Linked DNA regions of Alligator mississippiensis. The protein of the gene in region 2 binds, or shares a complex with, the protein of the main gene of each other region. Links are inferred from orthologs where the notes say so. Each region holds a gene or a part of one and is shown on either strand. Other genes may lie near its edges. The genes, in order: RPL13A and GAPDH.

Region 1 (7,326 bases), on a different chromosome or scaffold from region 2:
TCAAGGAAGGGGAAGCAGGGATGGGAAGCAGGAGGTATAGGTGGCGGCATCTCAGTGTTTGAAGGATTTTCTTCTCACGAGCCATCAAACAATGTAGGTAAATTAGAGCATCACAGACGCGGGGTGGGAATGATTCTGTCCCTCCCACCCACCCGAGGGCACCATGCCTCACCTTGTCATAAGGGGGCGGGATGCCATCAAACACCTTCAGCCTCTCCAGTGCGGCCTGCCCTCGCTTGGTTTTGTGGGGCAGCATCCCTGCATGGAGAGGAGGCCTGGTTAGCAGAAGGGCAGGATGGGGTACAGAAGGCCTGTGCTGGGGCTGTCCTCTGCTCCATTCTTTCCACCAGGGGCAGTAAGGGGCATGGCTGGGGCAGTTCTCACCCTCTTCTTCACCTCCCCCTCAACAGAGGGGGGTGGGAGGGGAAGGATTCATAGGCATGCCCCTCCTTCCCAAGCCAGGAAGGGGAAGCCAGGGGGAGCACAGCCAGGGCATGTTGTACCATGGCTGTTCTCTGCCCCTCCCTGAGGGAGGCATGAGAGGGGCAGTTATGCTTCCCAGGCCACCCAGGGACCTTGCAGTGACCTCTCTAGGACTGCAGGGGTTAGAGCATTTACACTTGCTACCCCAAAGTTAGTAATCACACCCCCAGCATCTCCTCTAACCCTCCCCCCCTCCATCTTCTGACCCACCAGACTCCACAGCCCTCAGAGCTGGAATAGAACCCAGGTCCCAGACACTGAGCTCCCAGCCCCCCTGCTCCAAATCCAGCCAAACCTACTCCTCTCCCAGAGCTGGGGAAGCTCACTGAACAAAGAACCACCCCAACTGGTCCTTTAAAGGCAGATGCATCCACCCATAGGGATGTTACCTCGGACAGTCCTCCAGAAGATGCGGCTGGGGGCACGGAAATGGTACGGGCCACGGGAAGGATTAGTGTTCATCCTCTTGCGAAGGAAGGCCAGGTACTTGACTGGAATGAAAGCAGTGCCCAGGGGAGGGGTTAAGGATTAATCTATACCTCTACAGGGAGGAAGGACACCTGGGTTCCATTCTTAGCTTTGCTACAAATCTGCAGGACATAGGCATAGCCCTGGCTCATCATGCCTCAGTTTCCCCTTCACCACTCTAAATCTATACAGGTTCAGGAGCAGTGGGCAGGCACTAGATTCCACAGACCAGAAAAAGGAAGCAGCCAGCCAAGTAGAGAACACCTAATGCTAGTTCAGGGCTATATACAGGGTCCCTGTGTCCCCCCTCATCAGGGGCCACCAGCTTCCTGCACACAGGCCTCAGTTCCAAGGAGAAGTCTCTCAGCCCAACGGTTGCAAGAGGGTGAAGAATCAGCACCATGAAATGCTGTGTCCCGGCTGTGGCAGGCGGGGAAATGCTAGGCTGGAAAAGGACCTATGAGTCCTGGCTCCAAGGTCCCCTGCTTCCCACTAGAGCCAGGTCAGAATCCAGTCATTTCAGCTCCCACCCCCACTTGCAGAGGTACTTACGTTTGTTCCGGTAAAAATTTCCAGAGATGTTGATGCCCTCACATCTCACTACCACCACCTTGCGTCCTAAGAGAAGGCAAAGGGAGATAGATGGTAACAGGGTCTCTGAGCAGCGTCAGACCATACACCGGGGGGGGGGTAAGGTAGGTACATGTCAAGTAAAATTCCTAGCCCAATCAAGCGACTACAGAAAGGCACAAGGTCCAAAACTCTGAAGGCCCAGAAGGATTGAGTCAGACCTGCCTGGTGCTCCTCCAGGGGCTAACAGTTTGGCTAGGGGTGCAATCAGTGGGCCATAACTGGGGCGGTTTGCAAAAAGCAATGGACTGGGCAGACAGCAGAGCCTCGAACCATGAAGCCTCAAACCTCACCAACAGCACAGACCTCAGCATACGACTACTCTGATGACCTAACCTACAGCAATGGAACCCAGGAGTCCTGGCCTGCAACCCCCAGCCACTTCACAATGACCCACCAGACACCACCCAGCTAGGACAGAACCCAGGTGTCAGCTCCCAGCCCCAGCTTGTTCTAACCCACCCAACCCTGCTCCCCTCCCAGAGAGAACCCAAGTGCCTAGGCTGCCAGGAGCTGTCTCAGATGGTAGTGCATGGAAGAGGTGTTCTCATGGCCGTGAGACTCAAACACCGAGTTAGCATCATCACAGACTTCCCTGCTGGGCACAGACAGGGGCTCCCCCTGGCCCTACAAGGGGGGGAGAGTTTCTCCCCCACCCCCAAAATGAGACTTTAAAAAGTCTTTCAACTTTTCTCTGCATCTAACCTGGACAAAACAAACTATTCCAAACAAGAAACTTTACTACACCTTCAGGTCTCCTGCCAAATATGAATCTTCATTTCTACCTAGGAGAAGTTTTACAATCTCTGCCCTCTCCTATGTCCGACGAAAGGCAAGTGTGCACAAAAGCTTGCAAATAAGTAACGTGATTTCTTTGCAAGTCACTGGTTGGTCTAACAAAAGACATCATCTCTTCCATGCTTTTTGATGCCTTCTTCCCCCACCCCCAAACACTTACCCAGCAGGACCTGCTTAGCGACGATGGCTGCAAGGCGCCCCAAGAGGTGGCCACGGCCATCGATGACCAGAACCTGGGGGGGAGGGGGAAAGAGGTGGACGTCATTGGGGGCTAGGGGAAGAACTTGGCAGAGAAATGGAGACCAGCAGCCCCCCATTCCCACAGCTGGAGATGGAGCCCAGCTTGGTGCAGGCCTCAGGGGGCCCCAAGCCCTGCCCCTGCGGACCCCAGGGGAGCCCCCTCCTACACAAGACCTGCCTGGGACCAGATCCCCAGGCAGTGCCCCACGCGGCAACCCTTAAGCCTCCCCCGCACGGCCCGACCACATGGGCCCACCCAGGACCCCGCAGAGCCACACTGGACCGTTCCCCCAGGACCCGCCCCCACTGCCGGCTCCCCACGCGTGACCCCGCGGCCGGAGTGGAGGACGATCACGGTCCTGCACGAACCTTGAGCTCCGCCATCCTCGCCGGCCGCACAGGAAAGAGGCTCCACCCCGCGCCCGCTACGGGGTCTCCCCTTCCGGGCGGGGAAGTGCACAGGGGCGGAAGTGACCTCACAGCCGGACGGAAGTATCGAGGCCTGAGGAGCCGCACTTCGTAGCCCGGAGATTACATGGGGCCAGGGCGGAAGTGAGTGGAAGCGGGAGCCGCCATTATGGGCAAAAGAAAAGAGGGGTTGGGACCGTTAGGGGTGAAGTCGGGCGGAAGTGCAGCCTTGTCCGGCGAGGGCAGCGCCGAATGTCGTCTTAAACCCGGGCGGAAGTCGCTGCCTAGGGGGCACCATTAGAGCACGCGCCCCGGAACTACCGGTATATAAAGCGAGATTGGGGGGGGTGGAAGTAAACCTACGCCCACCTCATGTTTATTCAGATACGTGAATCACGTGCCTCTACGCACAGAGACTGCAGCCAGGATGGGGTGCGGGAGTGGGGCCCCAAAGTGACAGGGGGGCGTTCTCCATAGGGAACCCACTCCCCTCCTCCCAGCAGCAGGAGGCCTCATCACCCCTCTCCATTGCCCCCCTGACATCACAGCCAACCCCCACAAGCCCCAAGGACCCCCCATCATCATAGCCTCCTCCTAAGCCCCGCTTGCAGACCCCCAGCCTTCAGCCCACCCTGACATCATACCCAGAAAGCTCCCCTGTGATGTAACAGGCCCACCTTTTGCCCCAGCCATGATGTCACCACCTCCTAGCCTTCCAAACCGCAGCCCCATCTCCACTGCGATGTCATATCCAGCCCCTCTGACATCACAGTAATTTCTTCTGGGCCCAACCTCTGCCCTACCCTGACTGTCACAGCCCCACATCACAACCCCCCCAGGAACCTCCACCCCTGTGACCCAGAGGCCACAGCCAGACCAACCCCCCAAGAAACTCCCCAAGTCCCCTGTGACATCACAGCCCCACCCCCACCTTGATGCCCCAATGGGACAGAGACCCCAGCCCCACCCACACTGTGGCCCACTGCACAGGGAAGCATCACCCCAGACACCCACCCCTGCCATCTGTCACAGATACACACACAGGGGGTCTCCACACGCATCTTTATTGGGGTTCCTGGCGGGGCTGGGGGGGGTCAGACCCGCTCTTCAGTGTATGTCACCCCCAGCTGCTGCCACAACTAATTCATGATGGAGGCAGCCAGCTCGCTCTCGGCCAGTGGCAGGATGGGGCTCTTCAGGCCTGTCAGAGACAGTGGGATGGGTGTCAGTGTGGAGGGCATCAGAGCTGTGAGCTTCCCCCCAGCAACGCCTAAACCTGGGATCTACCAGCCAGTGCTGCGAGCTTTTCCAAACAGTGCCCTGGCCCATCACCTTTCAGCAGACACTAAGTTGAGGGGGCTGAGAGCAGGGTGGCAGTGGGCACTCCTCCAGTTTCCGATTCACTGCCAGCTCCATGGGGCACCACAGGTAATCCGGGACCTATTGTGGGAGAGACACAGCACCCCAGGGCTCAGCACAGGGGCACAGCTTGGGATCCAGGATGCCCAGTTTCCATCCCCATCTCTGGCAGGGGAGTGGGGCCTGCTGGGAGCCAGTATGCCTGGGTCTAGGCTGTCCCATTGACTTTCTCCTTCCTTTCTTACCTTAATTTCCCCTCCTGGCCTGATACCTGGAGGATGCCCTTGGTGCAGCCAACCTCTGCCTGGTTAAGCAGCTTCACCACAGTGGAGCATTTGAGCACAGCCTGGCACTTCCCTGAGTAGTTCAGGATGATGGAAGTGGTTTCATCCACACCTAGAAGGGGAGGCAGCTCCGATGGGACCCTCTATCCCCCCAGCCCTGCCAGTGTCCCTTACTTCTGACCTGCAGCCCCCAGCTCATCCCAAACCCTATGGGTGCTCCTTACTTCCACCCCCACAGCCTCATTACCAGTGGGGCACAGGAAACCTGAGGCAGTGATGGACTTGGGCTTCTCCCCGCGGAAGACCATGCAGGCAAAATGGATGACATAGCAGCCAATGTCCAGCACTGTGCTGCCACCCAACTCTTTCTCCACAATGCGTGGGACCCCTGTGATGGGAGCCTCAAACTCTTCCCTTAACAGCTTCTCTTCCCTGATCCCATCCAAAGACAAGAGCGACAGGATCTGCTGGGAGGCTGGGAAGAAGCAGGTCCAGAGCACCTAGGGTGGGGGGAGGACAGGGACAGCTGAGGGGGCTGCCGTGCCATATTGCAGAGAGGGTTGGGAGGGGGAGCTGCACTGCAGGGGGTTCCTGCATGGGGTTCCATGTCTCACCTCCATAAGTAAGACCCCACTCTTCCAGGCCTCCTGGGCCAGCTCCCATACCTCAGTTGCATTCATGGCCGTAGGCTTCTCCAGCAACACAGGCTTGCCAGCCCACAGAAACAGCTGCCCTGTGGGCAGGTGGATGGGATTCACCACCCCCAGGTACACCACATCTGCAACAGTGCAGTCAGCTGGGACCCAGGTGTCCAGGCTCCACTCACCCCCAACCCCTTGCCCAGAGCTGGGACAGAACCCTGAATCTCAGCCCCCCAACCTTCCCAACCCATCAGCCCCACTTCCCTCCAGGGTTAGGAGAGAACCCAAGTGTCCTGGCTTCTATGTCCCTGCCTGTAGTGTCCCACTAGCCCCCACTTCCCTCCCAGGCTGGGAGAAAATCCAGGCATCTTAGTTCCTGCCCCTGCACCCTCAGCTGTGACCAACCAGGCCCTATTTCCCACCCAGAGCTGGGAGAGAACCTAATTTACCCTCCAAATCCCTGTGGCCTTACAAAGCCCAATCCCCACCCAGTGCCCCAACCACCCCTCTCTGTCATAGGGCCCTTGCTCCCTAGACGGGCTGGATCTGCCTTGCCCCAAAGGATCTCCCTTCTCCCCCGCCATCCCAATGCTCATCCATGTCAGGGTCCTTGGCCAGCTCCTCATAGCTGCCATAGGCAGGATCCTGTGTTTCTGGGCATATTGCTGGGCATGGCAGAGTTCACGGGAGGTGATGGCTGCTACTCGGGGGATAACATGGACCCCAGCAGAGAGAGAGAGAAACCCTCTGCTTTCCAGACAGAGAACCCAGGCGTCCTAGCTCCCAGATCCCCAAACCCCACTCGTCTCCCAGAGCTGAGGTAGAACCCAAGCATCTGGGCTTGCAGCTTCCCCCCACCTCAACCTACCAGACCCTGCTCCCTTCCCCGAGTGCGGATAGAACCCAGGTGTCCTGGGCTCCCAGCCCCCTGCTCTACCCTGCCAGAATCCCACTCCCCTGCTAGAGCGAGGAGAGAACCCAGGCACCCTTGGGCCCCAAGCCTGATCTTCTGTCCCCTGTGAGTCCCCCCTATGGCCCCCTGGGACTGATCTCCCCACAGGAGCCTTGAAAACTGCCCTGCAGCCACCTCCCCGCATTTCTTCTCTGCTCCCCAAATGCGTCCTTCACCCCCAGCCCCTCCTGCCCCCTCCAGATACCTCCTGCCCCCAAACTGTTCCTGCCCCTACAAGGTCCCCTCTGTCCTTAGCATCACCCCCCCTGAACCTCCATTTTTACTGCTAGGTCCCCAAACCCACTGCACCCCAGACTTCTTCCTGCACTCACCCAAAACCCCTGACCCCCCCCCCAGCTCCTGGCACCCCAAGTCTGTGTCAGTGCAGAAGGGAATCTGGGGTGCAGCAGGGGTAAATTCTGGGGAGGCAGCAGGATGTGGGGGCAGGGGGTACTTCTTGGCCTGGGGTACAGCTGATACTGGGACCCACAGGGAAGTGGTAGACAGGCGGGGGGACCCAGCAATATTTCTGGAGTGCAGATTTGGGTACCAGAGGGGTCACTGGGCATCCTGACATGTTTGGGGTTAATTCAGGGGCGCTTAGGGGGTGTAAGGGGTTAATTCCACCCTGGAATTAACCCCAAACATGCCAGCAGCCCCCCAATACCCCAGATCTGCTGGGTGCCTCAGCCTGTCCAGAACCCAGAGACTGCCCTGTGGACCCCCTGATCAGCTGTACCCCAGCCCCAAAAGTACCCCCTGCCCGCCACATCCTGCTGTCCCCCCAGAAATTACCTCTGGCTCCCTTATTACTGCTTCATGTCAGAATCCCACCCCCACACAGACCATTGTACTAGACTTGTACCTGCTCCTCCAAATCTCCCTGTGCCCCCATAATCCCCCATCCCAAAATTCTCTGGTCTTGTACCCCAATATGGCCTGCCCCCAGAGGATCCCTCAAAGAGATCCCCACACTCTATCCCCACCCATCACCCCTGGCTACCTGGCTCCAAGCCCCTCCCCACCCCCCACACTAACCCAAATCAACCTAAATCTGCCCCAG
Region 2 (7,191 bases):
TAGGGATAAGGCAAGGGGAGGACTGCTCCACATCAAGACAGGACAGAATATATAGCAAGTGCAGCAAAGCTGCTCCAGATCCTGCACCTGCAATACTTACTGCTTTCTCCAGGCGACAGGTCAGGTCTACTACAGAGACATTGGGTGTTGGGACACGGAATGCCATTCCAGTGAGCTTCCTGCAAGACAAGTCAGGTGTCACCAGATGAGTGTGCATCCATGATTCCCAGGTCAACTAGGGTTTTGACACAGCCTGCTGGGAGGCTGTAGCTGTAGCTTATCCTGCCCTCCTTCCCCCATGCAGGTAACCCTTGGGGATGAGGGTGGAGATACTCGCCCATTGAGCTCAGGAATGACTTTTCCCACAGCCTTGGCAGCACCAGTGGATGCTGGAATGATGTTTTGGGCAGCGCCTCTGCCATCCCGCCACATCTTCCCAGAGGGGCCATCCACAGTCTTCTGTGTGGCTGTGATGGCATGGACTGTGGTCTAGAAGGTGGGACAGAGTTAGAATACAGTATATGCACCTGGAGTTTCACCTCACTACCTGAGCTACCTGCTGGCCCCTACCTTCCCCAGTGTCCAGATGGTATAGGAAGGATCACCCTTCCTACTCTACTAGATCAACAACCCCCACCCACAAAGCCAGGCCTGTTAGTTTCAGTTGTTTGGGGCTGGGAAGGATCTTACAGATCATTGGGTCCAGCCCCCCTGTACTTGGGCAGGAAAGACCTGGAATCAGATGACCCCAGCAAGATGAGCATCAAGACACTTTTTGAAGTTCACCAGGATGGGCAACTGTACTACCTCTTGTGGGGGGAGAAAAAAAAAAAAAGTGACCACCCCCCATCACTGCCCCCTTACTCTTATGGCCAACCCCTTGGTTGAAAGTTCTGTAACAGATCTCTCCCCTTTCTACCCTCCAGGCCTGATGTTTCCAGGTCACTTACCATGAGACCTTCCACAATGCCAAAGTTGTCATTAATGACCTTGGCTAGGGGGGCCAGGCAGTTGGTGGTGCAGGAGGCATTGCTATGGGAAAGGAGAGCAAGACATCAGCCTGGGGCAGGTGGGGCCAACCCCCAGTGGAGAGCACAGGCAGGGAGCAAAACTCCCTACCTCACTGGGGTCCACTTTGCACCTCAGACTTGTCCTGCACAGGTGCCCATTCCTCACCTGACAATTTTCAGAGACTTGTCATACTTCTCATGGTTGACACCAATCACAAACATGGGTGCATCAGCTGAGGGGGCAGAAATGATCACACGCTTTGCACCACCCTTCAGGTGAGCCTAGGAGAGAGGGAGAATACTCTTATCTACCCAGGTATGAGGGGATACCACACACATGCAAGTCATACACTTCCTCACACCTTGAAGTCATTCAAACACATTCTCTTGCTTAAGACAGAGCTATCGCCCTGCTTAAACCCTTCCTCTCACATATCCACCCTAGGTACAGCCACCACTTACACTGGCCTTCTCTGTGGTGGTGAAGACTCCAGTGGACTCTACAACATATTCTGCTCCAGCTTCTCCCCACTTGATGTTGCTGGGGTCACGCCTGAGAGGAAAGAGATCGTTTAATATCCAAAAGCTATTAAATTCTGCTCCTCCACATCACCCTGTGCCCCAAGCTGCAAAAGGAAAGGGAAGGGGAAGGGACACTCACTCCTGGAAGATTGTGATTGCATGCCCATTAACCACAAGTTTTCCATTCTCAGCCTTGACAGTGCCATGAAAGCGACCGTGTGTGGAGTCATACTTGAACATGTAAACCTGGTGGGTGGGATAGGGGAAAGAGCAATGTCAGAAACGTGGGCTGTATCCCTCCAATAATCCCCTGCCACTCCGGGCTCCAACACCCCTTGCTCTGCCAACCCTTTTGGCTGAGGGTAGCTTGCTGCTTCTTCCTGAAAAGACCTTGCTTGGGTCTGGCTCCCTTGATATGGCTCTGAGGCCAGCCAGCAGCCCTTCACTGTAATCTCTGCCACACCTCATGTGCCCATGGTGCTTGGCTTTTGGAGGGACTGGAGAGTCACTGCTTTCCCTCCCTTCTCGCCATGCAGGGAGGCAGCTTGGCCAAAGGCCAGTAAACCTGGTGGGCTGGGGAGGGAGAGCAAGGTGGAGGGATCCCACTCACCATGTAGTTGAGGTCAATGAAGGGGTCGTTGATGGCCACGACCTCAACTTTGCCACTGCTGAAGGCGGCTCTGGTGACCAGGCGGCCGATACGGCCAAATCTGGAAGGGGGGGAAATAAAAACTGAGGCCCAGGCACATCGAGGGGTGGGAAGGGGACACTGTGAAGGAGTGCTGCAGTCTGGGGAGGGAGAGATTTGTGGTGCCACTCCTGAAGCAGCTGCCCTTTCCTCTGCACAAGGAGAGGCCGCAGGGCAGCAGGGGGGGGGTTGCCCAGCTGCAGCAGACCAAAGGGCAAGAGAAGTTGGAGATTAACCGGCCCGGTCCACTGCAGAAAGGTCAGGTACTAAATTTACTGGGCCTGGGACAGCAGCTCCAGTTACAGCACCATAAGGTCGCATTTCCCGGGGCCTCAGGGCTCAGGCAGACACGCGATCCTGGGGGGGGGGGCCAGGAAGCCGCAGGAGATCCCAGGGCAGAGCCCTAGTGCTGCCCCGAGGCGGTGGCGCTTCCCGCTCGTGTGACTCAGCCCGGCGTGGCCCAGAGGGGGGTGGGGGGGAAGTGACTCAGCGGCCGCCCCACCGGGCCGCGGCTGCCGCGCACAAGGGGCCGCGTGCGCGGACCGACAGGCGGGAGGGCGGGGGGCGCCGCGGCCGCAGCTGCCGCACGGGACGACCTTGACACGTCCTTGGGGGGGGGGGAAGCACAGCCCGGGCGGCCGGCCCAGCCCCGCCCCGCGCTCACCCGTTTACGCCGACTTTCACCATCTTGTCTCTGGAAGATGCTCCTAGGGGAGGAAGCGGCGGTGAGACCAGCGCGGACACTTTCCGGAGGCCGCAGCCCAGAACTCGCCGCCTCTCTGAGCCCGCCCGCACCCCACCCCGTCCCGTCCCGTCCCGTCCGGCACAGCCCGATGCCCCCGCCCTGCCCCGCCCGGGACACAGGCAGGCAGCGCCCCTTGGCCAGTCCCGGACACCCACGTGCCGCGCCTGGCCCTGGCCCTGGCCCTGGCCCCGCGCACCTGGCCTGACCCAGCTCGGCTTCGACGTGCAGTGAGGAGGTGGGAGCGAGCCGCGCCACCCCAATATATAGCGACTCGCGGGCCCGCCCTTGCGGCCCGCGCCCAATCAGCGTCGGGGGGCGGCCCCGGGCTACGTGCGCCTCAGCTCGCCTGGCCTGGCGTTGCCTCCAGATCCGGGCGGGCACTGGACGGGGGAGTGGGGCGCACTGGGGTTGGGGTTGCTCGCCTAGGCGGGTAGGTGTGTGCCTATCCCACGCGCCCTCGGGCAGGGGCCGTGCCGGGGGCGGGGGACGCAGCCCCGGCGCCCCCTCGGGCCCCGTGCGCCCCCCCCCCCCCTGCGGGACGTGACGGCGGAAATCCTCCCGCCGGCCCAGGGCCGCGATAGCGCCCAGTGGCCTGGCCGAAGTGCCCCGTCCCCGCGCCGCTCGGCCTTCCCACGGCTTAGCCCCGGCGCTGCCATGCGGGCTCCAGCTCCCCAGGCCCTGGGGGGCAACGCTGGCGCAGGAAGGGCACCTGGAGCCCAGAGCACCAGGAAGGGATGGAGTCAGAGAAGCGGGGCTGGAAGGGACCTCCAGGAATCATGGAGTCCAGCACTGCCTGAGCCAGGGTCACCCCTATCCAAACCATCCATGGGCTAAACCCAGCATAAGACTGCTGTGAACCCTGAGGCACTAAGGAGCGAGTGTGCTATGTGTTTTGTGAAAGAAGACTTGAAGACATGCAAGCATAATCTAAGGGATACTTAGATGATACTTAGATACTTAAGGGATATTTAGATTATACTTAACACTATTAAATACTCTTGTGATATGATCCTGGCAATGTTGCCAAGTTATCCTATATAGCCATACCTGCCTTAGATGAAGCAATCTTTCAGGAGAAGATGTAGTGAGGGGCAGCAGGCTTCCCCCCCCCCCCCCTGCCTGGCCCTGTTTAGGAACCTCTGGAGCAGGCTGGCAGCAGGCATGAGAGACAGCAGGGCAGGCGTGGCGTGGGGGGGATGGGGAGTAGATACCAAGGGGGTCTGCAGACAGGTCACCTCACTCAGGCGTAACCCAACTCCCCTTGCAAAGCTACTATTCCCAGGGCTGCCAAAGAAGTAGACAGCTAAGTTTAGCTCCAATGGAGGTTGTGACCTTTACTTAAAGGCCATGGGGATGGATGGCTTATGCTGCAACCCTGTGGAGGGGTCAGTGGGGAGGGGGTGACAATCCTGGCACCTCTTCCTCCCTCAGGAAAGGGGCCAGCCCCAAGGCCCAGCCTGCTAGGGGGAGCAGAACAGTGACAAAAGGTGGCTCCAGGCTACTAGCACATTTGCAAGGCCTACTGTTTACTGAGCAAACATGAATGCTGCTGAGGACTCTGTGCAGGGGGCACAGGGCAGGTGAGAACAGCCAACATGACAACTGCAAACCTCTCTGGCCCTAGTGTTGTCCCACTCAACCTTTCAACCACTTTTCCGTAGCCAAAGCTCCAGTTGGGGCAAGCCAAGATGAGCTCGCAGGGACATACTCCACAGTCAACATTCCTGCTTCTCTGGCTTGGAGTACATGTAGGTTGAGATATGCTACTCCCTTGTCTCATGCCTTGACAACATGAAAGCAGCTTCCTCTGGGGTGGCAGGAGTGAGGGGCTAAACATGGAGCACAGGGAAGTAGAAGATGTGTTCCCCAGCACCTCGTAATAGCACACATAGGGTCAGTGATCTGTTAGCCAGCTCCCCACAGACCTCTTTCACTCGTCTGTGACTGTGAAAGTTTGGGGAGGAAGGATGACAGAGTCGGGCAGAGTCAGCCGTGGGATTTGGCAACTGTGAATCAAGGGAATGATGTTGGAGTGGCTGTTACATAAGGGTGTTAGACCAGGCCAGGGACAGCCACTGGGCCTAGCACAATGGTGTAGTGTCTGTGGGAAGCAGAGAGTGAGACAGGGAGTGACAGAAACTGAATGGTACAGAACTGGGAAGTCTTTCCCCAGTACAGAATAGATCTGGATTTAGCTGCTCTCCTGGCATTGGTGCAGGAGTGAGGAAAGGTCGTGCTTGATATGTGAGAAACAGAGAGAAGCCACTCCACCGGACTCCACAGGTGAACTGCGCAGAGAGAACAGCAGGCCTGCCTAGCTGGGATGCTGCTGCCATCTGCTGGCTGTGAAATGCTGACCCTTCCCCTCTGTAGGACTCATGGAGCAAGAGTATCAAAATGGATGTAGTAAAAGGCTACATGAGGGCCAGGCACTGGGCTGCTGGCATTTTACTTATGTAACACCCACACACACTTGGGGTTGTGTGTGGTAAAGTGTGGTTTTGGTAGTTGTGTGTGTTTTTTGGAGACTGGAAGAGGCCCACTTCCCTCCCCCGTCATTGTGTCCTGACCATTGTCTTAAGATTCCTTAAAAGAACTAGTAAAACCAGTTCAGTGACTCCTGAGCGCATCCAGGAGCACTGACCACCTTTGAATACATTGGTCTGCATTACCAGTGTTTAAATGATGCTGTTTCTTGATTGGGACCCTGTAATGATGTCAGAAAAGTTATTTAAGGTTCAGGCTACCTAGGCTGGGGGCTCTTTTCTCCTGGGGCTGCTGAGAGCTGTACTGTTGAATTGGGAGTCGGAAAACCTGCTCCTGTTGGGCCGGGGGGGGGCGCTGTCATGTCTCTCCCCTCTTCAGTGGAGAAGCAAGTAAAAGCTGTGTGACTGAGAAGCCTCAGGTACAGGAAGAGAAAGTCTGTCTCAGGGCTTGAGACCCCTGTTTTCTCCCTCTCCTTTCCCCTTTTGTTTTCTGGGTTTTGAGTGAGATGATACCATTGGGGGAGTGGGGGTATCAATTCCATGCAGCAGACTAGCCAGAGTTGGAGCCTGGCAGTTTTGCTGATGAGCTCCTGGCCAGGCCTAAGAGCCTGACATGTAGAAGTTGTGGTTACACTCCTTTTGGTTTCAACCTAGATGTGTGGTTGAACCCCAGCTGTATGTCTTGATGGCAGTTTTGGCCACACGGGCCTTGAGTGGGATGGCATCATTAGTGTATTAATCCCTAGAGCAGACTGACCAGGAATGGGGTTTTGGCAGTTACTGACCTCCTGTGTTGGGGATTGTAGTGTCTCAGCATGGTAGACTGGATGTCCAAGCTGGAGCTATAAGCCTGAGCCCTTTTTGCTGTTCCACAGCAATTGCATTTCAGCCCAGTTGAGGTGGCTGAACCCCAGCCATATGACTGGCTGGCAGATTTGGGCTAGGGTGAGACTATGGCACTTCTTGTTGTTTATCCAGGCTTTAGTGTGGTATAGGCCTGGCCAGCTTTTTGCCCAGTCCAGGTCCAGTGAAATAGGCCTGGGCCTCCTTTTGTCCCTCTTGCAGTTTATGCCCAAACCAAGCAGTATGGTTGGGCACTAGTTGTAGTTCAGGTCCTTTCCAAAGTAGGCCTGACCCCTTTTTGTTGTTTCATAGCTGTTAGGTCTCAGCATAGCAGTGTAGCTGAGACTAAATGTCCAGGCCGCAGCCAAATAGGCCTGGTGCTCTTTTGTTGTATGTTCAGGACAGGAGGTGCAGGACAGGCCTGGGTCCCCCCTTTTATTGTTTTATAGCTGTTGTGCCTCAGCCTAGCTGTGTCGCTGAGCCCTGCTGTGTGTTTGCTGCATGTTCAGGCCTGGCATGGTTTGGGGCTGACCCATGTTGTTGCTTTTGCAGTTCTTTGTCCTGACCAAGCAGCGTGGTTGGCGCTAGTTGCAGTTCAGGCTCATTTGCTGTTTGGCTGGCTTTTCTTTGAGTTCTCTTGCAGTTTCCTGTCTCAGTAGAGCTAGGATTAGGACTAGAAACTTTGGGGTGTGATATGCTGACAAAAGCTGCAATTAACCCTGCAAAGCCACCACGTGGAAGTGGAGATCAACACTACAGCTTCTGAGGGAGCAACAAGGGACCCCTTGCAGTGCAGGCCCCTGAAGCAGCTCATAGGACTCTCTGGTGTGGGACTCTCTCTCCATCCTATTGCTGAAAGGCAGCTATAGGGGTGCAGGCCCCTGGAACTACCCATTG

The links.
Region 1: GAPDH (region 2) and RPL13A share a complex: the UniProt entries of both Homo sapiens proteins name them as parts of the GAIT complex. The link is inferred for Alligator mississippiensis from reciprocal best matches to the Homo sapiens genes GAPDH and RPL13A.

The regions. Positions count from the first base shown.
Region 1 is NC_081828.1:39,550,751-39,558,076, forward strand, and holds the start of RPL13A (large ribosomal subunit protein uL13), read right to left. Parts: upstream 3,088-7,326; 5' UTR 3,004-3,087; coding exon 2,989-3,003; intron 2,613-2,988; coding exon 2,540-2,612; intron 2,176-2,539; exon of another isoform or gene 2,094-2,175; intron 1,570-2,093; coding exon 1,504-1,569; intron 975-1,503; coding exon 873-974; intron 259-872; coding exon 173-258; intron 122-172; exon of another isoform or gene 45-121; intron 1-44. UniProt on the Homo sapiens protein: Associated with ribosomes but is not required for canonical ribosome function and has extra-ribosomal functions.
Region 2 is NC_081824.1:243,386,608-243,393,798, reverse strand, and holds the start of GAPDH (glyceraldehyde-3-phosphate dehydrogenase), read right to left. Parts: upstream 3,228-7,191; 5' UTR 3,162-3,227; intron 2,928-3,161; 5' UTR 2,908-2,927; coding exon 2,885-2,907; intron 2,243-2,884; coding exon 2,143-2,242; intron 1,779-2,142; coding exon 1,672-1,778; intron 1,564-1,671; coding exon 1,473-1,563; intron 1,293-1,472; coding exon 1,177-1,292; intron 1,033-1,176; coding exon 951-1,032; intron 490-950; coding exon 334-489; intron 176-333; coding exon 101-175; intron 1-100. UniProt on the Homo sapiens protein: Has both glyceraldehyde-3-phosphate dehydrogenase and nitrosylase activities, thereby playing a role in glycolysis and nuclear functions, respectively.